Astyanax mexicanus: one gene and its partners. The protein of the gene in region 1 interacts with the protein of each later gene in a pairwise test. Links are inferred from orthologs where the notes say so. Each region holds a gene or a part of one and is shown in the gene's direction. Other genes may lie near its edges.

Region 1 (7,423 bases):
AATTAAACAAAAAGAGCACCTCTATTCTGAGTAGAGTTTTAATAGAATGTACACGTTTCTAAATTACATTGGCTACCCTGGAAATAGTAGGGTTATATATTTAATTCCTGTCATGATCAATGCAACTAGAGCCATGGTTTCTGGAAGCTGTTTAGAAATATAGATTTTATTTTTCCTTCAAGGACTGTTGCCTGAACTTAAAAATGATTTGTGGAATTAGTGAAATCAATGTGGACCAAATGGGAGGCCGTATACAGCTTCAGTTCCTGGAATTGATCCAGTGTGTTGCAGAAGTGGCTACTGCTGGCATGGTAAAATCTAATTAAGTTTCCAAACGGGAAAGACTGATTCATTTCCACTGGTCAAGAACAGTGAACCACATATGGGAAGATGGGCCCAATTTGATTATATAACTAATAATAATTTTTACTGGATCCAGATTTGTTACTGGTCATTTTATTATTATTGTAAACAAGATTGTGAGAGAAAAATAAATTAAAATATAAATTAAAATATACTACACGCTTACTGTAGACACAAAGATATACTGTGTAAAATACTGAACATTTAAAAGAGTCCTGATGGTGTGTGTGACTTACACAGACTATACTGCCTAACACAGGTTTTAACTTCACTGATCTCACTTGATTTTTTTTTTTTAGCAATAATTTATATTTAATCTTTCAGAAAAAGTAAAAAAAAAAAAAAAAAAAAAAAAAAAAAAAACCTACATTACCCATTCTGGGGGGTACCTAAGATACGTACAACTGATTTGTTATAAAGTAAACAATATACACCGCATGTGTGTAAAAAAAATCTTAAATAAACTCTACCTTATATTGTCTTAATTAGGCTCTTTATTCCTTCTACTTCTGTTAAATCATATTTATTATGTTTGTTCATAGATCACATCCTCTTATTTTACTTCTCATTTATTCTAAATGCAAATGCCATTTAATAATGACATCAGCACATAATAAATAATAAATAAGTTACTGTTTCCCTGTTCCCTGAAATCTTGCTTCACCTGACTTTTATCTTTTGGTCTTAAAGATCTAAAAATTCAAAACTAGGGTAATCTAAAGTGACGATCACAATTGGGTCGAGCTGAGACCCAGTCTTTTCACTCACTAGCTGAAAAGGGTGAAGCTTCAGCAGACTAAGCAGCACAATGCGTACTGCCACTAAAACAATGCCCAGAAGATGATGAATGAGGCTGAAGTGAACATGTTGCCATGTGTGGAGCGGGAAGGGTACAGGTTCAAAATGCCAGATAAACCCTCAGAAGTTAGTTTTGCTAGTTGACTGACGAGGATTAAACCTTTTTTCCATGTTTATTAAAAGCCTCAGGGCATCAACATGGTGCTATCTATATATCCCCTAAAATGTGTTCCTGAGAAGAAGCAAAACAAGCAAACAACAAGTTGTCCAAATGGGGAGGAATTTTCCTGCCCCATGCCATAAGAGAGACAGGGCCGCAGTGCCAATGTGAGTCAGAACAGATGGACTTTGGAAGGACACAGAAAAGGACAGTTCACTGGTTCTATGGTTGTGCATCGTAAACCATTCATACGGGAATAACGTTCTGAATCCAAAGCATTTTAAATAGGAGAAACAGTTTTCTCCATTGCATACACAAAATTCTGAAAACTGGTGTATCACAAACATAGCTCTAAATTGCAAAATGTTAGGTACAAGTCTATGTGTTCTCAGTCAACTGTCATTATAAAACACAGTTTTGCAAATCTCTGAACACAAATTGTATAATTTTACACTCTGGTCACCTAGAAACAATGATCTTATATTGCACTTGTGTTTTATGGTGCTCTCTACAGTAATTACAGTATACATATACTTATATGTGTGTATCTTATAGAACTTAAGAGAAATGTACTATCAAAAGTGCATGTTTTTTGTATTTGCTTTCCTGTTTACCGACCTAGATTACTCAATTTTTGGCCAATGTGACATTGGACAGCAGGACAAATACTATTTCTGTTTTTATTTTGGTCATTTTCTCTATTAAAAATGCATTTATTTTTACATAAAGTAATAATAAAGTCCACTACATAAAGGTTTGTCTCCTACAACTTTTTCTTCCCTCTGTTATCCTGCCTTAAGTAACTACAGTAAGAAAAATATTACTAGCAGTGGTGGAAAGGTAAGCAGGTCGTTTTTTGGGTGCTGCTTGGTGGTTAATATGAACTGGAAATGTCCTGGTAAAGTCCTGCTGGGAACTCCATATGGTTTATTTATCAATGGTTTAATTACTGCTAGTTGAAAGGCTTTGGGTAAATGCCCCAGGCTTAGCAATGAGTCTACTATCGTTATTATTTAACTATATCAGGTAGTATTTGTTTGTTAATATCAGTGCATTTGTATTGTTAACACAAGAGAGGGTCAGTCAAAAATTTCTCATGTCTCCCTCAATTGTGAACTTCTTCTTATTTGCAAACTTTTAGCAAGTATTTGTATTGACATTTACCTTTCCTGTCCATCTGTCTTCCTCTCATTCTGTCACAGCTCTGTACTCTCTCTCTCTCTTACTCATGTTTGGGGTCTCTGCTTGTGTCTCCACAGCGGACATGGTTTGTTTCAGTTCAGGTACAGGGATGAGTGCTTTGAGGCCAGAAGCTGAGCTTGATCTCCAGTTTCTCTCACACATCATGATCAACAGTCCTGCAAACAGAAGAAGGTTTTGGTCTACTAGGTGCACTATGTGAAGGGTCTATTATGATTAGCTGATTCAGGTTAATTTGCCTATCCTTATTCTAATTAGTAATAATAAATAGTAATAAATGTGGGGGTGTCCTAACTTTTTGTCACAACAGAGAATTTTTTTTTTTGCTCATTATATTTTACAACTCATGTTTAAAAGTAATTTCTTTAAATTTATATGTTTAGCTATATAAGATCCACGTGTCAGTATTGGTCATGACATGTACATGCCATGTACACTGTAAAACACTGCTGTAGAATTTACTGTAAAAAAACTGCCAGTAAATTACTTTAACAAATGTTAACAAAACTTTTACTGTAAACTAGTAACATTTACAGTAACATTTTTCACTGCCATGACAAATCTGTAAAAGCCATAAAATGAGAGTAATTTGCAGTAAATAATATTTACCCTGAATTGTTTTTATTTCCTAGTACTTTTCACATATAAATGAAAAGGCAAACTTACTTAAAATAAAACAAAATAAGCTTTCTTAAGTGTTTAATAACTCTGAAACTGAAAAGCTAGCTAAATAACACCTAGTGAAAACTCATACCCCACAAATTAGCACTAGACCGAAGAGGCTAATGTTGTTAGCTAACAAGTAGTGGAAGCTTGTATTTAAACTTTTTCATGAGCTTAATGTAGCTTACTAAAATGTATTTACATTAGCGCCATCACACCATGAAAATATGAGGCTAATGTAGCTAATTAGCAAACAATTAGTGGAAACTTACCCTGAGTTATGAGGCTAACGTAGTGAACATGCATTAACACTAATACTTTAGGCACAATTTAGGCTTATACTTACCCTGGTGTTGTGAGGCTAATATAGTGAGGTAATATTTGAAGCTACTTTATATACAGCTCTGGAAAAAATAAAGAGAGCAATTCAGAGTTGGTTTGATGGCTTTATCATCCATCTTCCTCTTAATTATATTCCAGATTTTTTACATTTGGTAAAATCAAAGAAACACATTATTTTTAAGTGGTCTCTTATTTTTTTCCAGAGCTGTATATAATGATGCCTAATCCGGTAATGTTGAAAAACGGATGTTTTTCATTATCAACAAAAAAAATGCAACCAAAAATAAATGTTTAATCAATGTTCTTTGCTGTTAGTGAAATTCACTGTAAGCATGAGTTTGACATTCATATCGACCAGTTTATATTTAAATAAACCTTATATTTTCTATTTGTTAGTGAATAAATAAGACCAATGAATAGGACATTTTTTATATTTTAAAGGTAATTTCAAAGAGAATACCATATTTAGCCATATTGGTTGGTCAAACGTTCGTATTATACATTACGTACTTCCTTTTAAAAGGGATGTATTTAGCTACAAACCCCCAAAAAAGAATAAATAAAAGAGCACCAACAATAAATCTCTGACAGAGCTTTAAACAAGAATGAAGGAGACCAGAATCGTTTTTTAACTACACTCTGCAGAAAAAAAACTACAAAAGGGTCTTTGGAACATGACAGCATTTTATAGCTGTCCAAGTATCGCCTGACTGAATTGTAGATAGCTTAAACCGACGCTTAAGCAATACGTGTGGTCCAATTTTAAATTATAATCTTAGATCAAGTTATGAATTACATTAGTATTTAACGATTTGTCTAAAATGTTTTAAAACGTGGTAAAATAGTGCGGCTTTCGAAGAAGCCAGTCTCCCGCTGGCCTTTCCGCCAGGATTTAAACTGGCGAAGGGGAGGAGGCGGAGCTGCTGATTGTGACATCTGACACATAACTGAAATAAACAGCGACACTGAACAATGTAGCTGTAATAAACCACTAAATACGAGTTTGTCTTAAGAGTTTTGGATACTGACTTGAAAACACTAAGTTTAATTTAGTCGTTTTATTGTTTTAGATACACTTTAAACTGGTTTAAACATGTCTCTTCCACCGGAGAAAGCGTCAGAACTGAAGCAGATCATCCAGGATCATTTAATGAAGGTAACGTATGTCGCCCAGGTTCTCTCTGTTTGCTAACTGATTGTCTGGCCTGACTGCAACTAAGTGTGTGTTTGAATCAGGTTTGGGCTCAGAGAGCTGTGGAGCAGCAGGAGCACCGGTTGCTGAGTGGCTAACGAATTGAACTACAATAATTACACTCTACATGTAGGTTACTAACCTAACTTAGCTAGATATCATCATTCACTATTGACACTTTCCCTTAATAATACATCTAGCCACCACTGATACTGTTTAAAATGATCTAGAGCTTCATACTGCTGCTACTACTGCAGCTACAGCTTAAGTTGTTACTACTTAAAGGACCATTAAGGACTAACAGTTAAACGGTATTTTGACCAGGATGTATCATCCGATATTACAGAAACATGCTGAGTTTAAACACTGGCAGCTCTTGTCAGCAAAGACTGTGCAGTACTCTGGAAAATCTGTGTGGGTTTTTAGGCTTGAAGCCTGCCCACTGTTATTCCCACAATCCAATTTCCACACTCAGGATTGCCAGGTAAAGACAACAGCACACAGACAGGGTGCTGCAGCCATAGCAACAGGTGAGTTGGCTATGTTTATGTTGAACAGGTAATCACTAAGCTTCAGTAAGGTTGCTTACCATAACTTTATCATTTATCACCACCGCTAGCATAGTAGGGTCCGGTGTTTTGGACATTGGAACATATATATTCAAAACTCATAATATAATAACATAATAAGACTAATCATATAGCATTATTTTGTGTATGATTCATCATCCCAGAAATGCTTGCAATAAACCATATTATTATAATGTTAAAACTATTAAATGCCACTATTATTATAATGACAGTAAAATATCATAACAAAGCAATTATACCCTTTTTAAAAAAGACAACTATTTTGTAATTATCATGTTTTAGTCTTCCATCGGAAATACATGCTTTTTTCACCTACTGCAGTTCACACTGTGTGTATAGGTCACAGGCATTGGTCATAGCATGACTGACCTAAATACTGTTCTCTGTTTTATATGTGAACTAACATACAAATAAACACATTGCAAAACCTTCAATGTGGCTGTTAAGCATGCACTTATTGCAGTGTTAATGCTTATTGTTCAGCCCAAAAACTGTACATGTTCATTTGAGTTTGATGGATTAGATCTTCTATAAGCCTGAAGAACTTGATCAAGCTGGGAGTAAAGTTGATCATACTGTTAAAGCTGGTTAACCAGATAGGTCAGGTAGGTCATACTGGTGGAAAGGGCTGCAACTAATAATTATTTTGGTAGTGGACTAATCTGGTGTTTTTTTGATTAGTTGATTAGTCAGTTATTTCTGCCATATCCTTCATCATTTTAAAATAAAAGAAACAGCTGGATGTGGGATCTAATTGCCCTTTAAATGCCCAGAAGATGTTTAAATGTGATAATTGTGATATTTAGTAAATAAATATGTACCTAATTTATTAAAAACTTTATTTTAAAGTAGATGACTATTTCACAGCGTTGTGTCACAGTTATGGTTACCCTCTCCAGATTTAGTTCTTATCTTAATCAAGAGGTGCAAATAATACACTGGACAAATTACACTGTGGATGCTGTATTTTCCTGTTTTTACTGTTTATCATTCCAATTTGATATTTTTACTGATCCTGAAGTTTATGTTCATGTGGATGTGGTTTGATGCACATGTCTGTGGATCCAGTCAGTAATATTAATGATTATATGATCAGATGGATATCCATGGGAAAATTCGAGGTGTCCTTGCGGAGACGCTGCAAGCTGAAGGGGACCGTGGAGAACGACCACTCTCTGAGGAAGACTTTCTCACTGCTCTCCAGCGCAGAGGCATTGTAGAGGAGGCCATGAAGGAGCTGAGTTTTGTTAATGTGGTAAGATACTTAATACAGACCTTTTTAATATTTATTTTTTTAGCCCACAAGCAAACATTGCTGACTGTTCTTGCCAATACACAGCCTTAGTGCTTAGGAAGAGAGTTACTGAACTACTGAACCCTAAACTATTTTTAAAAAGCGCTTTTATTGTGGTAATTTCCGCCTCTGCAGTGCCCTTTCAGGTGAGGATGATGTGTCGCTGTACTTGGGTATGCAGACACATCGGAACATGCAAATCAGTCAATCAGTCAGTGACGTCCAACCATCTGCTTCTCACTGCTATCATAGGCACACTGCTGCTGCTGCTGCTGCTCAGCCAATCAGATCTCCCTCCTGCCCTGCCTCTAAACCCATACATCACCCAGTGCCTCTCCGAAGCTACCCCTCCCATTTTTTTTAAAGTTTGAGCTGAGGCCCCTTTAAAAAGTTTTTAATGATACAGGAGGCCAGATTACCCACAACTCAAAATATAACAAAAGTTGTACTGTGACAGACCAGGTTATACCTTAGCCTCAACAAATTTCCCTTAAAGTGGTGATTTACCATCAGTATTTCACTGTGGTCCAGGATTAATCTATATCTTTAGTGTCCTGGCAGCAATAGACCACTGATAGTGTGCCATATTTCTGTATCTGTCTTTGTTTGTACTGGGAATTTGAGTTTTATATATATATATATATATATATATACACAACATTCTGACAGTTTTGAATCACATTTTGGATACCTAATTTATGGTTTTGTTTGCTATTCTGCTATATTTTTTTACTTCAATTCTATGATTGTTGGTGTTACTACAAAGTTTTAGGGATTATGTTTTCTTTAGACAGAATCACAAATAGAAGCAGATGCTCTCA
Region 2 (7,894 bases), on another chromosome or scaffold:
TCGATTATTGTATTTTTTCGCACTATAAAACACACCGGATTATAAAGCGCATTTTAAAAGACACTAAAGGGAACTTTTAATTTAGCAGGTCTTGCCACTGGGTGATGGTGGGGTAGCTAACTAAGCTAAGCTAAGTAAACAAAACTGTATTAAAAAAGACATTCATTTAAAGTCAAACGACCGCTGGATGTTAATCTACACAGATTTCTCTCCTGAAAACTGTTTATTTGGGTGAGTAAAGCTCTTCCGTTTATTTATACTAAAATGGCGCCGAGTGGTCCAGCGGTCTAAAGCGCTGCCACTATGAGCAGGAGGTCGCAGGTTCGAACCCCTGCTCATGCAGCTTTGCCTTTAAGCTGTCGGTGCTCAGAGGGAGCACAATTGGCCAGGTGGGTGGGTAGATGGCGCTCTCTCCCCACATCACTCCTAGGGTGATGTCTGCAGCACAGGGCATCTGTGAGCTGATGTATCAGAGCCGAGCCGCTGCGCTGTCCTCCAGGCGCGCTGGCTGCTCGGCAATGCTGCATCAGCAGCAGCTCGAAAAGAAGCCGTGGCTGACTTCACATGTATCTGAGGAAGCATGTGTTAGTCTTCACCCTCCTGGTGTGTTGGAGCATTACTAGTGATAGGGGGAGTCCTAATGAGTGGGTTGGATAATTGGCCGTATAAATTGGGGAGAAAAAGGGAAAAGCATTAGCTGGAGCATTAGCATTAGCCGCCCAACAGAGCTAAACTGAGGTAAGCCAGGGTGATATTAGCTAGCGGTTCGTCACACGTAGCTTGTTTTAACACAGTAAATGTGCAGGCTACAGTCCGATTTACTTCCCTCTGAGTGGCGCAAGAGCTAGCACAGTTAGCAGGTAATGCTTATGCTGCTTTAGCAGTGTTCAGCTTGGTTTGAAGGCTTGTGGTCATTCATCTTCCTCTTGATTATATTCCAGAGGTTTTCAATTTAGTAAAATCAAAGAAACTCATCATTTTTAAGTGGTCTCTTATTTTTTCCAGAGCTGTATATTCTATCTAGCTCACATTCCAGCAATGTAAGCTGCACATAAGCATATTGGCTGAGGTATTGATCTGCAGCACATATGCAGTTTTCCATACTTCCAGATCTTCAGTAACTCTGATAGAGTATCAGTACGCTTCTAGGAGAACAGAGCGGACAGAGAGAAAGCTTCACTCGCCCCACTCGAGAGGCAAGACAATCACTTCATTAAATAGACAGTGAGGGATGGGCCTGTTCACCAGGATTGGACGAGGCATCCAAGCTGAGAGCATGCACAAGATACATCTATTAAAACGTCCTGAAGACAGAGAGGGAACGAAGCATGTGTGCGGGATACACTGCCAACTGCACCAACAGGGCCAAAGAGACCACTGACTGCAAACAGAGCTAGAGAACTAATGTAGCCAGGTACATAATATGGAAAAGTATTGGGGCACCTGCTCATTAACTGTTGAAAGATTGTGAACCCCTTTTGAATTTTCTATATTTCTGCATAAATATAAGCTACATCATCAGATTTAAAAGTAGATTAACCCAGTTAACAAGTAATTGCACTGGGTCATTTATTTATTGAGGAAAATGATCCAATATTACATCACTATTGCACACTTTGCTCTTGGAATGATCTTTGTTGGGCTCCTGGGAAATAGGAGTCTCGAATTTCCTCCATTTGCACACTGCAATCTGTCTGACTGTGGATTGGTGGAGCCCAAAGTCTTTGGAGATGGTTTTGTAACCTTTTCCAGTCTGATGAGCATCAACACGTCTTTGTCAGAGGTCCTTAGAAATCTTCTTTTTTATTATGCAATGATCACTTCCACAGACATGTGCTGTGAGGAGTAGACTTTGATAGATACCTGTTCTTTAAATAAAACAGTTTGCCCACTCAACCCTGATTGCCATCCTATTGATTGAAAACACCTGATTCTAATTTCACATTCAAATTAAATGCTAATCCTAGAGGTTCACATACTTTTGCCACTCACAAATATGTAATATTATATATTTTTTCTCAATAAATTAAGACCAAGTAAAATATTTTTTATCTAATTTCTTTTACTGGGTTCTCTTCATCTAATCTGATGATGTTTTAGATTTTAGGTCAAGGGGTTCACAGACTTACAAGCACCACTGTACATACCTTCCTACCTACGTACCTACCTATCTAACTAAAGCTACGTTCACATTACAAGCCATATTGTTCAAATCCGATTTTTTGCTCAGATCGTATTTGGATCTTTACGGTTCACATTCACAAATGTAAGTGATCTGTATGTGTGGGTAATGTGAATGAATGTGTCCCTGAAATGCCTCACATGCGCACATTGATACCTGTATAAACGTCTCCTTCTTCACCAACAGTAAAAAACATCATATTTAAGAGACGACTCGTAGCTTTATAAATGGAAATGAATGAGTTAGCAGCTCATATGTGGAGCATCTTTTGTTTGAGAGTAGGGGTGGGTGATATGGCTCTAAAATATACAATACAATACAATTATACAATACATACACCTAAAGCTTCACAGTAAATAATAGACTACTTTTAAAACAGAACAGCCCTATTATCACAATATGGATTTTCAATATCACGATATTTCTGTGTCACGATATATTGCATACGATATAATATTGCCCACCCCTACTCGAGAGAGAAAAACGTAGCGCATGCGTAAAAGCAAAAAGACGCATGAATTCTGATTTGACCGTTCACATTTATGTCGCTTGTCCATGGATTGGATATGTATGCGATTTAGGACCACATATGAAAGTGGCTCAAATGATAGCTCTGATATTTAAAAAATCTGAATTGTTACGTTCACACAGCCACAAAAACAAAAAAATGTGATCTGAGACACATTGAACAAAAATCAGATTTGAGTCACTTCAGCCTGGTAATGTGAATGTAACCTAAAGGAATAATGTCATCTCTGACATCTCTGAATCAGACTGGAAAAAATCCACAATTAAAGTGCATGCAGTTTTAGACACAATAGGAAATCTGTGAGGCTATGAATTAGAAAAGCCACACTGACAACAATTTCTAAGCCCATATCTATAAATGTGTTATTAATAATTAATACAATATTTCAGCAATCAGTGGACCAAATCAAATACTGAAACAAAGTCAGAAATCCAGTTTAGTCTAGTTCAGTGTAAATTTGGACAGGGATAGATTACTTTTGAAATACTGTATATATAAAGAGGATAAATTCTATCTATCCCCAGTTTCCCAGCCATTACACAAACACTGTCCTTACAGTACTTCAAACTGCAGACTGTTATTGAACCTGGGACGCTGTTACTATTCCAGTGGGATATTTTATACAGTGTGTGATAGTGGTGTTAGTGTTTAGTGCTGTTGGCATGTGAGACTACCGGTACTTCTATTTGTGGAGCATGGCTTGTTTTAGCTGGGTAGAAGGCAATGGATTTTACATAGAAATATGACAATTTAAGTACCATATTGATCTCTTTAGGTTTTAAACTGATAAAGAAACTAATATTAACTAAACGGTAAGGCTGCATTATCTAGAATAGCTTTGGCCTATTTAGCACAAGATACTGTATTGTCCCTCACAGATCAGAAATATATTAAATATATTGATTATATTTGATTATATATGTTATATTACAGATATATTACTTAATTTAACTTGTAAAATTAATTTAAATGTGTTTGAAACAATTGTTGTAAATAACATATCATTTAAAATTGCAAATGCAGTCCAACAATATTAATAATACTATGAGAATATGCTTTGACTGAATGGAACTTTGTATATGGTACACATATGATATCCTTACATCCTAATTTAGTTAGTCTGGTATGTAAATGGCTGATGTTCAAATGCCTGACTGTTTAGGTGATAAATATTGTTTTGATTCTCAATAAACTAAGCTAGTTTAAAAGAACACACGCAGTATATTAAGGATAAATACATATTTGGCCATTTCCATTTGTCTTTCATAAAATCATTGTACATATTGTCACTGTTTAATGAAAAACAAGTATCTCCAAAATGGCAAATTTACAGGAGAGAGAAATAAAAACTTCTTAACTTTCGATAAAAGTCAATATAAAAATAGTTAATTTCAGGTCATTTTGGAGAAATTCTATTTGTCCATTCAACAAGAAATGTTGACACAGTGTAAGTGACAGTTTGTGTGTCCAAATTATGTAGTAAACAAAAATCCACAAAAAGGAACTTACTTGTTTTTCATTGGACAACGACAATATATTTATTTTCTATATGGAGTGACATCCCTAGGGGTGGCTGTTATTTTTTTAATTAATAAATTAAAATATATATATTGTATATGTTTTATATATATTTTTAAGATTTTGAAAGTGATTTTCTTTCTGGTTATTAGTATAATTTATAATAGAATATTAGAATGCATAGTTCAGGCTCATGAAATGACACCAAACTTCAGCTAAATAGCAAGAGCTCCCTCTTGTGTTTATTTTACTGATGCACTGGCTGATTTGGGTGCTGAAGTCCCAAAGTCATTCAACAGGGATTTAAACATATATCAGTAAATGTCCATTTATTAATCACATCTGTAAGTAATTATTATAGGCCTAGCTACTAGTCTAGACTTGCCTTGATCTGCTAATGCAGCATTATATTACATTATATCATGCTATTCTCTTTTATATTAACATATATCAGCGTGCTCTTGAACTGCATAACCTCTGACCATAAAACAGACTAATATAGCCTTGCACTAATAGCTTTTTAAACGATTCAAAGTTAAATGGTAAACATCATTAACTTACAATCAGGCAGAGCTATAATGAACCATGCCTGGCTTTAAGCTGGGTTGTCATACTCTGTACTGTAGCAGATCTCCAAGGAAACTGTGTGTGTTTACTCCACCCACCCACCAGCTGTTCCTCACTCCAACACACTGACTTACACACTCTAAATAACCTGTTTTTACTCTAAACTCCTAAATTACACTTTTCTTCAGAGCCATGCTGGAAACTTCTGCTTATCTCGGCTTTAGATACGATAGTTTGCTAACCTCGTTTATGTGCACCATGGTCCTTGGAGGAACGTTGTTTCGTTTCACTGTGTACTCTGTAACTTATATAGCTGAAATGACAATAAAAACCACTTTGACTTTGACTTTGGAGGAGTCTGGGAGCTCAGGTAAGTTTACCTGTTATATAACGTTAACTGAAGCTGAACTCAGATGCTCCAGTTTTATTCCTCGTTTTAATTCGTTTATTTTCTTTTTAATACTCCGTAAACACACTCACAGGCTGGGAAGGCTTTAAAGATAGTCCCAGTTTTTCTAGAAATTAGGGAAGAAGCGTGTTTAGGGCGAACGGCAACTGAAAACTGTAACTTAGTTAGTTAACTAGCTAAATAAACAATAGTTAGAACCGTTAGCTTAGCTTAGCTTAGCATAGCTAGATACCCACGGACCATTAACAAACAGTTCTTATAACTTAGCCTAGCTAAACTAAAGCCAGCTAACGTTAGCTACTTTCTGGAAGACGAACTAAAGGCTAAACTCGTCAGAATAATCTTGGATTAACTTAAATGTTATGAGGTAAAAGCAGGATTATTCAGGTTTATTTTGTTGTAAGATATAGTAGCTAACTTACCAACTAACTCTAGCTGGATTTTCGCATATTTTCCTCACAGAAAGTCTGGCGTTAACCCTTTCAAAAGTGATATGGCAAATAATTTCCAGACAAAAACACAGTATTCTTGTATTTTTACCATCACTGGATGAATGTAATAAGTAACGGAAACGTTAGAGTTAACAGTAATTTAAGCTGTAGAGGCTTTGTTTTTATTAATATCGTGCTGTCTATGCGTGTAGGTGCTAAAATATGCGATAGTATATGTGTTTTTGTTTTTTTACCAGCATGTTAGGTTAATATATTTATAAAAGAGCGAAGTTAACGACGTCCAGCTTCCAGCGATGACTCGAATCGATTCATTTGAACGAGTTCTGAACGCTGATTCGGGCACACAACGATTCACCTAAGATAAGGTGAAAAGTTATTATCACCGCACAATGTACTAATAAATAGAGCAGCAGTCTTGTTGTGCTTACAAATAAAATAACTAATTATAAAACACAAATGAAGACTTAGCAACAATACTGCTACATCAGTATACATTACCACTGAAAAACTTTAGGCACACCTTCTCTTTCAGTCTGTTTATTTCTTAATTTATGTTCTACATTGTAGATTAATATTAAACAGATTAAAGAGAAATCAATTAAAGGAACACATATAGAATTAGGAAGTAAACAGTAAAACAATCTTTGTGCTTCATAAACCTGATCACATGGTGATTTGGGATGAGCTGGGGCTTCACAGAGTGAAGGAAAAGCATTAACTATTGTTCAGCACCTCCAGGAACTCCTTCAAGATGCTGAAAAAAACTATTCCAAGGGACTCTACCTCATCTAGACACTGAGAAAATATAAGCTAAATGTACACTTCACATAATTCTGCATGTGTTCCTGTATAGCTTTAATATGGTATTCAATATTACATTTACAATGTAAAAAATATAAAAAGAAAGTAAACACAGTGAATGAGAAGAGATGTGTTCAAACATTTGGCTGTGTTTTCTTTAAGTGCACTATATTGCCAAAAGTATTCACTTGCTTGCATTGCTGTGTTTGGTAATGTAAGGATTAGATGAAGCTGCACGGTCATGGAAACCCATTTCACGAGTCTCTCTACACTCTACTGTTCTTGATCTAATCTAAAGCTACATGAAGTTTGGAAGTGTGTAGTGATGTTATTTTACACTGACAGTTGCTGCCTTCCACTGTGTTATACTATCACTGACAGTTGGCTGTGGAATATTTAGTAGTGAGAAAATTCCACAACTGGACTCGTTGCACAGGTGCTGCATCCTATCATGGTACCATGCTGGAGTTCACTGAGCTCCTGAGAGTGACCCATTCTTTCACTAATGTTTGTATAATCAGTCTGAATGCCTTGGTGCATGGTTTTATACATCTGTGATATAGTGCAAGACAATGCAGGTTTACCCTGTTCATTTGATTAGCACCACCACGTGGAGTAATGAAGCAGTGACTTTAGTAAGTCTAATTGGGGAGCGAGTCTCACACCACAAATCAATAATATATTGCAAACAAAAGTGATACAATCGATCACAATAACATATAATAGAATATATATTTGGTCCCACCCTTACTCTCTTTAATGCCCTTTAAACAAAATCATACAAAACATAAAATCTTAGTAGCACCAAACAAGGTGTAAAGCACAAAACATTAGGATTGTGAAACTTCTTCATTCTCTACCCAATCAAATCAACTAAAATGTATTTGTATATGAATTTTGGCAACTGATATTATCACAAAGCAGTTTTAAAAAATCTAGTAATAAGACAATAAAACTTATCTGGAATGATGGCGCTCTGCCAAATACTTTTGAATAGGATGAGCTGAGAAACTGGGGAGATGTAAAGGGGAGATGAAAAGGAAGTGATGATAACCCAACATTGTGAGCCCAGTAACACTCTGATTGTAATCAGATCCTCCCCATGAGGATTTGCTTGATTTTGGCACTCCCCAAATCATCTCAAAAGTATTGGATGGAGCTCCATCATTCCAAAGAACACAGCTCCACTGCTCCACAGCTCAGTACTGGGTGGCTTTATGTCTTTATGGCTATATGTAAGGGGTGTGCCATATCATATCATAAGCAATAATATCACCAAGAGAAAAAAGCAAAAAAAAAGCTTGAAAGCAGTCTATTTTTAATATGTTTTTTTCATATATATACAGTAGATTTACCATGAGAGTTTCAGTTTATAGAAATAGACTGTTCAAAAGAATCGGTTCAGTAACTTGATTCCAAAGGAATCAATAGTAACT
Region 3 (7,984 bases), on another chromosome or scaffold:
GTGGTATCCAGATACAACGTCTGAACCCTGAAGCCCTGCAGCTCTGGGTAGCGCTCCATAGAGGGATCAGCCCGGAAGTCACCTGTGTGGAGCACGGTCTGGCCATCTGGCAGCAGAAACAGCAACATAGCTGCCCCTGGACAGCTGGAAAGAAAGCGTCTCAGTGCTGCATGCATTCACCAAGTAGTAACAAAGTACAAATCGACTGAAGCTATTAGATACAGTGGCATGCAAAAGTTTGGGCAACCTGGTAGAAAAAAAATCTGTGACAGTTAATATTTAACTAAAAAAATGTACTTGTTGAACTATTGTAAATGCATTTTGTAGTCAAGCTAAAGTCCTTCTATGCTGTATTTCTCTTTTGCATTTTTTACTACAGATTTCGGTGAGATTTCTTTTTTTTTGCATGCTTTACTAATTTGATTTCTCATTATGTTTAGGTTAAAAGTCTGTAAGGGTCATGCCAAAACTCCAGCTTGCATCTTCTGAGGTCTATTATAGATGGTGAGATGTGTTTATGAACATTATCCTTTTCCATTCAGTGTTTTTACAACGACAACGTAATGTTTACTCCCCTTTTCTCCAAACATACTTTTGCTCAATGTGGCCACAAAGTTTTATTTTAAGCTTTTCAGTCCCCATGTGCATCAATCTTGGTTATATAATCTATTAGATATATCTAACACTGAATTTCGTGATGTGGATACAGGGTTTCGTCTAATGACTCTTTCAATAAGATAATTTTTATACATTTTTTATACTACGTGTTTATATTGTTTTTGTCTCTGCTGGTCCTGCTAACCTCCAATTCTTTATTACCTTACCCAAAAGCACTTTGCTTTTCTCTCAAATTGAATAAAACAAAATAGAACACTGATCTTCCCTCAAATGTTTAATCTTTTGGATGTAGCATTAAACATTTTGACCAGAAGTCCCCATATTTTGCATGCCACTGTAAACATAGCATTGCATAGTTAAGTATAAATGTTTCAGTACTCACTGATTAGCATCCAAAAGGGTGACCTTTACACCATCCACCACACAGTCCGTGTTCATTGGAAGAATGTGGACATATTGCTCATCCACTTTCAGCTTACTCTTCACCAGGTTACCAGTTATCTACCATAACAGAAACTTATCAGCCAGCCATCGCAAAACAATTTAGGTGTAGTATCATAAAAGCAATTTCTCTGCTGTAAAGGATCTACTCCAACTTATCCACCTACTCTTCATGAACTAAAGCAGGCTTTATGAGATGAGCACATGCAACAATAGCCCTTGGCCAACCCACATTTTATTTTAATGCAGAAATAGAGATACTCACTTTATTGCAGTAGATGGGAAGTGTGGACCTTTTTGTGAGTCCTCCATAGTGATCAGAGTGGAAGTGTGTAAGAAAGTATGCTGTAATGCCCTCAATGGTTCCATACTGAAACGCATCGACTACAAAGCCAGTTCCTGTGAAAAGACAGATAAAGAGACTGAGCTAACTGAACTACCTGTATGACATAGAATTGTGTCTCAAATCAGGATTATTGCATTGCCTTGGCCATCCTATTACTCATAAAATTAAATATTGCATTAAAAGTGTCAATTTTATTATTCTATTAGTTGATAAAGTTACACTTAAAAAAAAACACAACAGAAAACTAAAGGGAAAACAATCTTTAAGTTCCTACCATCAGAGAGCTGTGCAAAAAAAGACGTCAGATAAGTCTCTTGCTACTTGATATTTATTCATTACTATGAGACAGTGGGAATGTATGTGTTCTTAGGCTGTGTGCAACTGAAGACAAAAAAAACTCCTTGTTTAGGCAAACTTACTTGCCCAATTTCAATTATGTAAAATTTGATAAATAAAGAGACATGAGTAAAAGAAATGTGTGACAAAACCATGCAGCTCAAAACAAATAAGCAATAACACGCCAACCAACCAGGGATTTTCTTGTAGAACGGGCATCGCCTGGGCTCCACTGGTCCTCCATCTGTCGCTCTTCCTCTGTTCCACCTCTTCCTCCCCCCTGCCCTCACTCCTCTGCCTCCTTCTGTTTGCGTGGGCTGAGCAGCTCCTTCCTCGACTGCCTCCGTTGCTGTGGACTCTTCGTGGACTGCAGCACTCTTCCCGCGCTGTCTACCCTGACGTTTAGTATTCCGTCCTGCAGGTCCAGAGCTCTTTCTAGGAGTAGAGCTCACCTCTTCCTTCACTGAATTAACCTTCTCTTCAGCCTTCTTACTCAGTGGCTTCAATCCAAAGAACACACCAATATCAGTTTGCTTTAACCCAGAGACCTTGTTCTGGGTTTTACTGGGAGTAATGGTGGAGAGAGACTGGTTTTTGGTGGTGAGCATGGTGGAAGGCATTTCAGAAACAGAGTCTATTTCTGCACATGTAGAGTCAAGACTGTTGAAATCTGCAGGGTTAGATAAATGATCACGAAGGCGCTCCAACACTAAACTTCCAGGAGACTGTAACTGAGTCTTGCTCCCTTTACCTTCACTGTCTTTTACCAACTGTTTGTATTGCGAGGGTTTAACACTGGAATGAGACCCAAATGCTTCATCAGCAACATCTTCAATTGGGTCTAAGGACTCTAATTGATCACAGGTGGTCACAGGCGGAGCCTCCGTACTGAGAGAATCTTCTTGGCTTCTCTCAAACTGCTCCAAGACATCAGAGAGTAGACCATCCTCACTCACAGTCTCATCAAACAGCATCAGTGAGTCATTATCATCATCGTTATCCGCTTCTTCTACTGCAGTACTCTGAAACAGTTTTTTCTTACTACAGATAACATCTGTTTCAGCAGGGAGCTCAGAAAGGGGAGAGTAGGAAATATAATCATCATTATCATCATTGTTGTTGTTTAAAGCAGAGGGTTCCTCTTTTACTTCAACCGTCTGAACAGCACAGCAGATGCCTTCTGCTTTAACAGGAGTGGAACTCCTAATTTTAGGTTCCTGAGATGAACACTGGGATCTTGATACTTTGGCAGAGGGGGACCAACCTTTCTTTTTTTTAATATCCTCAGGGTCTGGGGACCTTAGCCGCATTAACGCATTGGGTTGACCAACAGGTGTACAAGATTGCTTGGATCCATGACTAGGAGAGGCACTCTGGCTGGACACTGAAGAGAGATTCACCGCACTGTCCACCGAGCTCTCTTTTCTAGAGATGATGGCATCACTGACATACAATGTCTGCTCCAGATGTGATTGGTCTGAGGGGGCTAGTCTTGAGTCTGGGCTGTTTATTGCTCGACTATGAGCTAAAAGAGAGTGGCAGTATCTCTTGTAATGATTTGGAATGGACGAAGAGCACTGAAGACCAAATGGGCATTCTGTGAATTTCAGACAAAAGAAAGAACATAAACAATACAAATAAGATTTATTATACCGAACAAGGCGCACAGGCACAACTGGCACAATGATATATCCTTGAGATAAGTTAGGGACTGGAGTTTTGGTGGATGTCAGCATCAGCTGATTTCTTTTAGGTGTGTATGTACATTTATGAATATAACGTATTTATGAACGCAGCAAAATCTACAAGGTGCAGATAATGTAGTCTTTATGCTAGAGACCTAGCATCACCTAAATCTTCAGCTCTGCTGCAGTTCAATCAACATAATCAAATACTGGTTTGAAATGTCAATCAAACCAACTGTGTTTTAGAAACATCTGCATCTGATTGATGCGTAGACTTGGTCGAAATTTTACCCTAATAGTTGCAGATTTATTTATAGTATACTAAAAAGGACCAATCACAGCTGACTGCACTACTACATTTTTTTGTCTGACTATGCAATCTAAGTGTAAGACTATTTTACTTTTGTTTTTATAAAAATAACAAAAGGCTTTTTTTGTCTGCTGACATATATAAAAGTGAACAGTATTTTAGCCAGTTATAATATTATGTCAGTGGCATTTTATTGTTTTAAAATGACAATAATATTGTTTATCGCAATAACTTCTTTGATGACAGGCAATCCCCAATACTATAATGACCCTTGAATCTAATATCAGTGTACATTCCTTTAAGAAACATTTAAGATTATACAGATAACTATACGGACTAACAAACATGCAGTGAACATGCATTTAATTATGTAGGTTAGTCATATAATCATACCTTTACTAGTTTCTCCAGGGGTATCCAAGCACTCAGCAACATGCCACCGTTCAGACTGGACCACCAAGATAGAAAAAGGCATTTGACAGATTGGACAGTACCCCTGGCTTTCTGTATCACCCTCAGGAGAAGCAGCAGCCTGTGTTTCAGGGTCTGTGGTCAGTGATCCGTTTATACTGGTGTTCTGTACAGATTCCTCGGGCAGGTGATTCCTGGTGGAAGATCCATTACAGCCCTTGTTTTTGGCATTTTGATCTTCTGTCTGTTTCTTTGCCTTCCCTTGCTTGTTCACCCTCTGTCTCTTTGCTGCGGACTCGCTGCATTTTTGTGACTTATTATTTTGTCTTTTGGTCTTTTTAAGAGGTTTATATTCCCAGATATCACTTTCTGAGTTACTCTGTGACATTTCACACCAGCAGCCACCAATAACAGCAGCTCTACCATTAGCCTAGCTACAGTTTTAAACAGCTAAACATAACGTTTAACACAAACAGACACACATTTCAATTAAAACATTGTTATCGTTTGGCAGATTCATTTATAACTCGTTTATTTAGTTAAATATCCCTCTACTACTGTAAACATGAGTCCTGTTACATACACACTTACCGCCACTGAGGAGAAACACCTCCTCACACATTCCCATCAGCATTTTCTCCAAACAATAATAATACAGCAACTCTCAAACTGTACACTTTATGCGTGTGTGGCTTAGCTCTATGCTGCATGTGAGCGTAGGAGTTTTTATATATATATAAATATGATTATGTGACTAGCTGTGGTTATTTTAGTTGTCATTATGTTGAATGTGCTGATCGCGTCCCCCGCGCAGTTCTCCTCTCTGTTCTCCGCGGTGCTCGGAAACATGGCGGCCTACAGCAGCCTGTCGACTCTGTTCCCGGTTCAGAGCGAGCTGGAGAGCGGCCTGGAGGAGGCGAGCGGCCCGCGGGAGAGGGAGGAGCTGGTGGCGGAGTATCTGAAAAAACTGGACCACAAGGAAGACCTGAAAGTTCCAGATTTTGAGGAAGGTTCGAGTGGAAAATGCTGAGTTACTGAGTTCCTGTTTTTAACTCTCTGTCTCTCTCTCTGCTGTGGCTTTCTCTCCTTTTCTGTCTCTGTCTGTCTGTTTTTTCTCTCTCTGTCTCTCTGTGTCTCTGTCCGTCTCTCTCTATCTCTCTCTGTCTCTGTCTCTGCCTGTCTCTTTATATATCCATCTCCCTCTTTTTCTGTGTCTGTCTCTCCCTCTCTCTCTTATGTGTCTCTGTCCGTCTCTCTCTCTTTCTGGCTCATATTACTGTCAGACTGGAATAAACAAATATAGACTGTGTTATGCCTAAAACGACCCCACCAATACAAGTACTTATGCAGTTTTAACTAGTTAAAAACTCAAATTACACTACTCTGTAGTTTCTACAAATACGAGCCGCTCTGCTATAAAAAAATATATTTCATAATTCATACTAGTAAAAAGTCCAAGTTTACATATTTGTAAGTTACTTCTGAATATAAATGTTCATTCAAGATTTTTCTAACATAGTCTTGACTGCTTGTAAAGTGCATATCGAATAAAGTAATTGCTGTTTCTTCTGTTTTTTGAGTTTCCCTGCTCCCAACAGGCCTGTTCTTTATAATCAGCTCTTTAACAACCCTTACCATACGCCCTGGTAATGAATATAGTGCTACTGAACGTATTTTGTTTTGAGCAGTTAGTTGAGCTTTTCTGTGTTGTTGGTATATCAGTCTGACTATTGTTTTACTGCAGGACTAGACTGGCTGAACACAGAGGGTCCTCTGTCTCTGCAAAAGGAGTTGGCAGGGAAAGTGGTGGTCCTGGACTTCTTTACCTATTGCTGCATCAACTGCATGCACTTACTGCCTGACCTGCACCAACTGGAGCAACGTCACACTGTTAAAGGTACACAAAGACACACACATACACACTCACCTAGCTATGTCCTCTTGTTTCACCAGTGTAGATAAAGAGGTAAATATTGGTCAGATTAAATCATCACTCTGCAGTAGCCCAGCAACTTACCAAATTGATGACCAGTGCACGCCCCTTCTAAAAAATATAAGAATACTCAGCCCACATAAGTGATGATGACACGACAAAGTTCTTTAGTCCTGCCTACTAAACTAAAATTAGCTAGACAGACTTTCAGGTGGGGATATGCCATTAGGCTAATGCATATAAGATTTAAATTTGCAACTGTGTAGATAATGGAGAAAGAAACACTTCTGGTAGACACTCCTTGATGATTGTATATATTCTTATAAATGTGTTTGGCTCCAGCTTTATAAGGCTTTAACAAGGTTTTTGAAAGTTAGCTTTAAGTGAAAGAACCCTGAACAGTCTGATAAAGACTTAATCCAGTGCCAAAATCTTTTAATAGAGCTGGTCCTATCAGTTCTACTAATCCTAATAACGAGCAAGTGCAAACCAAATCTTTTCTGAGCTGGTTTTTGCTACATGTATCATGCATTATTTTACAGCTCCTTTATTCCATTAGTTAAAGCTGTTCAGTGCTGCAGGCAAATAACCATGCCTGCAAAAAGCTGACTATGCTACAGTGCAGATTTAAGGGTGTCCTGTGAACAAAGAATCAGATTTCACACATCGAAAACAACAGCTTCAGCTCTTAAGGAAAAAAAGAGATCTGTCAGCTTTTAGCTAAGCGGCTATAAAAATATTGGCAGGTATCATTACTGTAACATTGTAGCATTACATAATTTGTCAAGTGTATACATTTATTACTAGATAAATTACATTTTCATGGCCAAACATGATTTATTCTACAACTATCAATGCACTATGCATTTTAATGCTCTTTTCTTTGAAATAGATTAATCTTTACTCACACTGTCACTGTCTCTGCTCCAGAGTTAGACACTAAAAACCAACATGTAAAATACTCAAGCCACTTCAGGTGGCAGTCTCAGAAGCATTTGAGTCACATGTTATGGAAGTGTAAATGCATCTGCTCCCAAAACACAACTGAAACACCAGTATTAATAGCCACAGAGCAATCAGATTTCAGCCAAACTAACTTTTAAAAGCATGTGTTTTTTTATAATGACACAATCCAAATACAAGTCACATGACATACCTCTAAAGATGTTTAGCATGAATTGTGATGGTAAGTTGATATGTTTAAGTAAGAGCATGGAATCATCCATTTAGGACAATAATCACAAACATCTATTTTGGATCTATTTTCCCAGAAAAAATGTGATAACCAATAATATTGTAATTTTAAAACCATACTAGGTCTTGTAACTAGTAATATAGTGCTCTGTGGAATCAGTTTTATTTTTTATTTAATTTTTTTTTTTTTTTTGCCGCATTTTTAGGTTGTTAGTCGAAAAAAAATCTAATTAAGCACATGCTCTGTGATTCATTGAAGCAAATTTCATTAAAGTATTCATCATTAAAGTATTTTAATCTGTACAATTCAATTGAATTTCAACTTAGCAAATTAATTAATTAATAACTGGCACAGACCTAAAAGATCCCTGTAATGAACAGAGGTCTGTAACAGATGTTGTATATTTCTAACAACACTAGACCCATTTATTATAGCTCCTATTTTATTCACCTGAAAATTACTAAATAATTATAGGAGACAGGCACACATGCCAAGGGTTATTTTCAGGAGATTCTAAACTACTCAAATAATAAATATATAAATAAAGTAACATCATTCTTAATACTTTTAATACATTTATAATATTAAATTGAAATATTGACAGAATTTGGATATTTGACCATATTTTGATCAAAAGTTTATTTAGTAAAATCCAAATAACATCAAATAATCATTTTTTTTCATTTGTTCTTTAGCATGTTTGGTACAT
Region 4 (6,893 bases), on another chromosome or scaffold:
TCCAGGAGTGAAAGAGTGGAGCTGCAGAGAAAAATGTTGACACTGTTTGCTCTCTTCCGTCTTTTTTGTCAGGGGGCCGTTTGCATCCATGGAAGTTTGTGTGGAATCCTCTGGATGGGCCTTTACAGTGAACTGGAATTAAAAGCACAGTAAATATATATTTATTTGCAGTGTATTGCTTGTATGTTAATGGGACTTAGCATAATATTAGACTACAAAGCATTTTAAATTGATTTTTTCCATTGAAAGAAAAATATAGTTTTAGACTGGGCTTAGTCCCTGTCCATAAAACTGCCCCATAGTGTAGGTGCATTTAATCTTCAAACATAATAAGATAAGCAAACATGAAACCATCTGAGAACATATTATGCTTATTTCTGTGGGAACCATTTTGACACATATGATTTACAATATGATAGAGACTAAAGTTGAAGTGTCTACTATGTGATACTTGTGTGTCATCATTGTCCCTACCTCACAACTCTCTCCAGCTCTCATTCTCTCCAAGCAGCTCTCTACAATGTCACACTGCCCCTCTCCCATGCGCAACAGGACCCATCTGTCCAGTGGCACCTGCAGCACAGAATCTTGGGAGCGAGGATGCTGTGTGACTTGATTGTCAGAATCATCACTGACCGCCGGTTCCGTTTCATTAAGGCTTGGTGGTTGGGTGTCTGATTCTGTGTGGGTCTTGAGGTACACTCTAATTTTGCATACAGAACCCATTAGTGGAGTGTCATCTCCTTGTTTTCTCTCTCCTGTCCATCTCCTCTGCACCTGCCACAGACCAGCAGGGGTAACTGATATCCATGGGGCATCAGGGGTGACGTCACCTTTTGTGTGTGTAGTCGTGGCCATAGACAAATCCCTAAAACTGAGGTAAAAAGAGACAAATAATTATGGAGATCTTTGGAACCCAACTAGCCAAAATAACTTGATAATTCCAAATATAAAAAATCCAAATAAAATCTTGTCATTTAGAGCATTTATTTGCAGAAAATAAGGTGCAGAGCTTTCAGACCTTAAATAATGCTAAGAAAACAAGTTCATATTATAAAGTTTTAAGAGTTCAGAACTCAATGTTTGGTGTAATAACCATGGTTTTAATCACAGTTTTAATGCATCGTGGCATGTTTTCCTCCACCGGTCTTATACACTGATTTTGGATAACTATATGCCACTCCTGGTGCAAAAATGCAAGCAGCTCAGCTTGGTTTGATAGCTTGTGATCAATCTTCCCAGAGGTTTTTAATTTGGTAAATTCGAAGAAACTCATCAGGTTCACAAAACTACGACTACTTCTTGTAATAAGGGCATTTAATTAACATAAAAAAACAAAATAACATATTAAAGTATTAGCTAGCTTGCTATCTTGTGGACACGCCCTATTAAAACACTGTCACACTATGGAGCTTTTACAAAACTATCTTTACAAAGTAGGTATATTTTAAAGTGAGAGGTGAGAGGTTATTAAATTCAGTGTCTACTTTTACCTGTAGTGTCATACAGACAGTCAGTCAGACAGACAGCAGGCTGATGACCAAGCAGCAGATTTAGCCACTGTTCTCATTCATCCATTGCTCCAGTCTCCACATCTAAAACACACATGTGTGTGTGAATGTAAAATAATATAAGTATATATTATCAACCTACAGACAGGTGATAACTGTAACTATGCTCCAGCAGTCTGTCTAGTCATGTTACTCCTCGCGCGGTGTGAAGGCAGAGAAGAAGCGTGTATTAATACGCGACTTTCCAGCGCCCCGTGCAGGTCTGGAGCGAAAGGGCGGTGCTGCGCCTGTTCCACCTACTACTGCCAGGAGATGGCGAGCTCGTACTAGTAGTGCATCTAAAAAAATAGAATATAATTGAAAAGTTACTTTATTTCAGTAATTTAGTTCAAAATGTGAAACTCATATATTATATAGATATATTAAACGCGTGAGTGATCTATTTTAAGCGTTTATTTATTTTATTGTTGATGATTATGGCTAATTACAGCCAACGAAAACCCAAAAATCAGTATCTCAGAAAATTTGAATACTATATAAGACCAATTGGTACCTATGGCAGTGTAGGCAGTGTGCCTGCTAGAAAATGAAATCTGCATCTCCATAAAAGTTTTCAGCAGAGGGAAGCATAGAGTGCTGTAAGAGTTTTCAGGAAAACACTGCACTTTGGACTTAATATAACACAGTGAACCGACACCAGCAGATGACATAACTCTCCAAACCATCACTGAGCATCAGAGACACACACTCCAAGTGATTCACTGATTGTGAAGTTTCTACAATCAGTGATTTTTTTTTAGAGAGCCATGTCATCAGTGTTTTCCCAGAAACTCTTACTGCATTTAATGCTGGTATGATACTAATTACTCTGTCCCTTGACTTTTGCCAGGCTTAGTATATGTAACTGTTTCTGTGTGATATAACAAAAACAGTCATTTTAATATGGGCTGTTTTTACAGTTAATTTAACATATGTGGGTTGTACAGATAGGGTAGTCAACAGGATGTGTAAGCATGCACCTGTTTAATTTAAATTTTCTGTTTTTCATAAACAAGGTAGATAAATGTTTTCCACAATATGGGCCCTTCAAGACACATGTGAATAATCCTGTGAGGTGAGTTGTCAAGCAATAAAGTACTTTTCAGCTTTACAAAATACTTTACTTTATTTAAGTATACATTTCGATTATCTATACTTTACTGGAGTAATTATTTTTCAACTAACTTTTTATTTTTTTTAACGCAATTATCGCAATTATCTGTACTTTCTATTCCTTAAATTTAAAAAATAGCCTTGCTACTCGTTACCTATTTCATTTCAGATTGATTTAATTTCAGTTTATACAGATAAATTGTGCCATCCATACATAGCATTCCGACACCCAATTGATTTGAATGCAATTGATCGCACCTGCACATATCACGCCACACTTCAGCAAGAACATAGCAGATGTATGTAGCCTTGTATAAAAGTTATTTAGAATTAGGGTTCTTTAATATATTTGTATTGTATGAAAAAAATCATTACCCTAAACATTGTAATATAACATCATAGTCATTATTGCTTTTAGAAAAATGTGTTTTGGAGAGGTGAGGTAGCGCACTATAGACCCCTGTGGGAGGGCCTACGCTTTTGTTCTTAATAGCGTTTTTTCTCCTTACTTTTACTTTATGTAATTTAACCAGTACTTTTATATTTTTCCCTAAGTAAAAAGCTTGAGTTGATACTTCAACTTCTACAGAAGTATTTTTTAACCCTAGTATATTACTATACTTCTACCTGGGCTCCGAGTGGTCCAGCGGGCTAAGCGCCGCTACTATGATTGCCGGTTCGAATCCTGTTCATGTAGCTTGCCATCCGCTACCGGAGGCCTGAGAGAGCACAATTAGCCATGCTCTCCCCCCACATCACTCCAAAGGGTAATGTCACTCAGCACAAGGCGTCTGTAAGCTGATGTATCGGAACCGAGTCAATGAGCTTTACTCCGAGCGCGATGCTGCTGAAGAGGTGGTTGACTTCACATGTATCAGAGGTGGCACCCTCCACTAGTGATAGGGGGAGTCCTAATGAGTAAAGTGGGTAATTGGCCATGTTAATTGGGGATAAAATGGAAAAAAATAGAAGAACAATTAAAAATAAATTCTACCTGAGTAATTAATATAAATGCTTTGGACACATTTTGCCTGTGAATGGACATGACTCTTTACATAAAAGTATTTATTTAGTTGTGAAAGGCTCACAATGTTGTTTTGTTAATAAATAACTCAAGGACAGGTACAGGTATGGAGGTATGGGGGCAGGTAGAGGGACAAAAGTGGCCAGCGGGGGCGCGCTTTAAGGAACGAGGCTGGGGCTGTTTCCTGGGTGCGCGCAGGCAGCGTCACAGGCAGTACAGTAGAGCAGCAGCTATGTGGCAGAGTGTATGAGACAGTCAGACAGACAAGGCTAAGCTGGGCAGGGCGGGGGGTGAGAAGAGTTTGGGAAGATATTCTGTTGACTGTGGTTGTCACCGCGACTCCGCTCGGAAGGCAGCTAGCCGCACAGCAGGACGCGGAGCGGAGGAGTCGCCGGACATCAACGTTTTCCCCGGTTTACGTTACCTGGATCGAGTGGAGAAAAGCGACGGAAAGAGCGAGTTTCCAGGCGAATGAGTGCAGCAGCCCCGGGAGGAGGGCAAGTGTGTGCTGTGGCGGGGCGCAGTTAGCGAAAGATGAACAAAAACCACCGAGTGCCGAGCAGCCGGACTCTGAGCGCCGTGGAGGTGAAGAGCAAGGTGCGCAGCAAAGCTAATTTACTTCTTACACGCAGCGGCGGAGGGATTAACGCTGAGTCTCCGTGCTTCGCCCGAGCCACGATTAGCCGATTTTTCTTGTGTACAGCGTGTTTGTCTGGGCTACCTTAAAAAAGTGTCTTCACATTGTTAAACCGACGAAGCTGAAGTTGGGTCGGCTTCTTATTCGACTTTTCCAGTCCACCCTAAACAGTAAAGCCAGTATGGAACTACTGCGCTGTTTAAGGTGGACCGGAAAATTCGAACTTGAGCGTCGTAGCGACGGTAGATTCAGTAACTTACATTCATCTAGTTAGCTTACAAGCATGTATAGCTATATAACCTAGTTAACGCTAGCTAATATATCTCAGCTAACTAATTTAAACTTTAGCTAGGTTAGTTACCCATCTGTTGTTGAGGAATATTAAGCTATCTATTATCTAGCATTTTGTTTGAAGTTTGAAGTTTGGTGGTGTGAGTTTCACTAGCTTCACTAGATAAAAAAAATCAGTTGTTTTATTTTGGATTAATGATTTAAATAGCTAACTAACTAGTAACTAGCTAAGCTAACGTTAATAAACAAAAAACAGGTGCAGACTGTGTTTGTGTGTGTAACTAATCTTATTGCACTGTGTAGGTTATGAAGAAGACTAAATGCTGTAAATTAGCCTAAATATGAAATGAATGAAACACCTAGATGATGATAATGACGATTCGTGAATAATATTAAAATTAAAATTTGTCTGTTTTTAAGTCATTTGAACACGTTGTGACCCACTGAAAACAATAGATTTTACTTATTGTTTGAGTTTTTTAATCTAGAGAAAGGTTTCGGGGTTGGGTCTAATTTACATAGTACTAAACAAGACATCCTGTACTAGTGTGTAGAGTGTACTGTTAATGCTAGTGTACTTTTACTGATATAATCTGTAGTACAATAGTATGTGTTTTGGCCAAGCATAACTCTATAGTGTTTTAGTGCTTTATTGTTTTAGTTTCTAATAGTTTCTGATAATAATGTTATGTCTTATTTAAGGTCTGTTTCTTTTGCTTAAGCATTTATATAACCCTGTGTTTTGGTGGTGTTAGGTTACCTGCTATAAGTGAGTGAGTTTATAGTAAGATTCCAGAAGTTTGGTTTGGTTAACTTGCTAAAGGTAATAATCAAAAAGCAGGTGCAGACTGTGTTTAAGTCTGTGTGTAACTGAGCTTATTTCACGGTGTAGATTATAACTAAGACAAAATGTCGTTAATAAGCATACCTATATTATTAAGGAAACACCTTGGGTTAACTTGAACCTAACCTGTCATTCTTTCTTGCTGTAGTGATGATAATGATGGTGGTTGACTTGTTTATGACTCAGTATTAAAATATGATCTTGCTAGCTAGTTTTCTCTGCTGTTAAGCATTATTATCTTCTTTATTTCAGAAATTGAGTCATTTGAACATGTTCTGACCAACTGAAAACAATACACTTCAGTTAATGTTTTTTTTAATCTAGAGTAAGGTTTCAAGGGTTGTGTCTCAATGACATAGTACTAAACAAGATATACTGTACTAGTGAGTGTACTACTAATGCTAGTGTACTTTTTGTAAATATACTTCTTAGCTAGTACAATAGCATGTATTTTTGTCCAAGCATAGCTTTACAGTATTTTGGTGCTTCATTATTTCAGTAACTAATAGAATACTTTTTCTGAAGATTATGTTTTAAGGTCTGTTTATTTCGTTTAAGCAGTTCTATAAGCCTGTTTTTTGGTGGTGTTATCTTAACTACACAACCTGCTGTGAGTCATTGAGTTTATAGAAAGGTTCAGCTGCTGTTTATTTTGGATTAATTAACTAGGTTAAGGTAATAATCAAAAAGCAGATGCAGACAGAGTTAAAGTCTGTGTGTAACTAAGCTTATTCCACTGTGTAGGTTGTGACGAAGACCAAATACTGTTACAGCATGCGCCTGGGGTTATTTTAACTACAGTGAAGGGTGTGTGTTAAGTTAGCTAGTAAGTAATTTGTTTAATCGGAAGCTGGAGCTGACTACTGGCCTTGCAGTGTTAGCTTTAGCTCACCTGTAGCTAAAGCTAACACTGCCCTGTAGCCCGGTTGTGTTTACTTTCTCACTGGAGTCAAGTGTCTAACTGATGCTAAACAGGACAAGTTTTGCTTAGCCAGCTTTAACCTAAGCTTAAATATAAAATTAATGATTCTTCTAACTTTTACCTCTCGTTGTGGTGTTTATAATGATTGTGCTCAGTATTAAAATATTAGCCTTAACTAACTACCTAAAAATGAATCAGGCCGTTTAGTTTTCTTTCTAAAATGACTAGTTAGCTAGTTTTGTCTGTGATTTAGCATTATTACCTTCTGTATTTAAGAAAAGTGAGTCATTTAAAGTAGAGTTCCTACTAAGGTTTTCAAGGGTTCTGTCTTAATTAATTACTGCCTAACAAGACATACTGTACCAGTGAGTGTACTTGCTAAAGCTGGTGTACTTTTTGATATGATCTTTTGTTGTTGGACCAAGAATGGCTCTATAGCAGTTTAGTGCTTTATTTCAGTAATAAGAAAAAGTTCTTATGTTAAATTGTTTTCATAAGGCTACGATTTGTCC

What was found.
Region 2: the proteins of cep76 (region 1) and dzip1l interact in binary tests that used the Homo sapiens proteins (3 or more experiments, as listed by UniProt). The link is inferred for Astyanax mexicanus from reciprocal best matches to the Homo sapiens genes CEP76 and DZIP1L.
Region 3: the proteins of cep76 (region 1) and nhlrc2 interact in binary tests that used the Homo sapiens proteins (3 or more experiments, as listed by UniProt). The two-hybrid records come from large-scale screens. The link is inferred for Astyanax mexicanus from reciprocal best matches to the Homo sapiens genes CEP76 and NHLRC2.
Region 4: the proteins of cep76 (region 1) and pard6b interact in binary tests that used the Homo sapiens proteins (3 or more experiments, as listed by UniProt). The two-hybrid records come from large-scale screens. The link is inferred for Astyanax mexicanus from reciprocal best matches to the Homo sapiens genes CEP76 and PARD6B.

Annotation. Positions count from the first base shown.
Region 1 is NC_064413.1:38,478,169-38,485,591, forward strand, and holds the start of cep76 (centrosomal protein of 76 kDa), read left to right. Parts: upstream 1-4,417; 5' UTR 4,418-4,619; coding exon 4,620-4,682; intron 4,683-6,404; coding exon 6,405-6,563; intron 6,564-7,392; coding exon 7,393-7,423. UniProt on the Homo sapiens protein: Centrosomal protein involved in regulation of centriole duplication. Required to limit centriole duplication to once per cell cycle by preventing centriole reduplication.
Region 2 is NC_064412.1:49,698,064-49,705,957, reverse strand, and holds the start of dzip1l (cilium assembly protein DZIP1L), read left to right. Parts: upstream 1-4,893; 5' UTR 4,894-5,166; intron 5,167-7,894. UniProt on the Homo sapiens protein: Involved in primary cilium formation. Probably acts as a transition zone protein required for localization of PKD1/PC1 and PKD2/PC2 to the ciliary membrane.
Region 3 is NC_064422.1:32,417,472-32,425,455, forward strand, and holds the start of nhlrc2 (NHL repeat-containing protein 2), read left to right. Parts: upstream 1-4,971; 5' UTR 4,972-4,994; coding exon 4,995-5,157; exon of another isoform or gene 5,158-5,170; coding exon of another isoform or gene 5,171-5,177; intron 5,178-5,891; coding exon 5,892-6,044; intron 6,045-7,984. Other genes in the region: dclre1a (DNA cross-link repair 1A protein), read right to left, coding at 1-144, 1,001-1,119, 1,325-1,458, 1,935-3,338, 4,130-4,535. UniProt on the Homo sapiens protein: Required for normal embryonic development.
Region 4 is NC_064420.1:34,154,136-34,161,028, reverse strand, and holds the start of pard6b (partitioning defective 6 homolog beta), read left to right. Parts: upstream 1-3,889; 5' UTR 3,890-4,221; coding exon 4,222-4,284; intron 4,285-6,893. Other genes in the region: fkbpl (FK506-binding protein-like), read right to left, coding at 1-132, 475-858. UniProt on the Homo sapiens protein: Adapter protein involved in asymmetrical cell division and cell polarization processes. Probably involved in formation of epithelial tight junctions.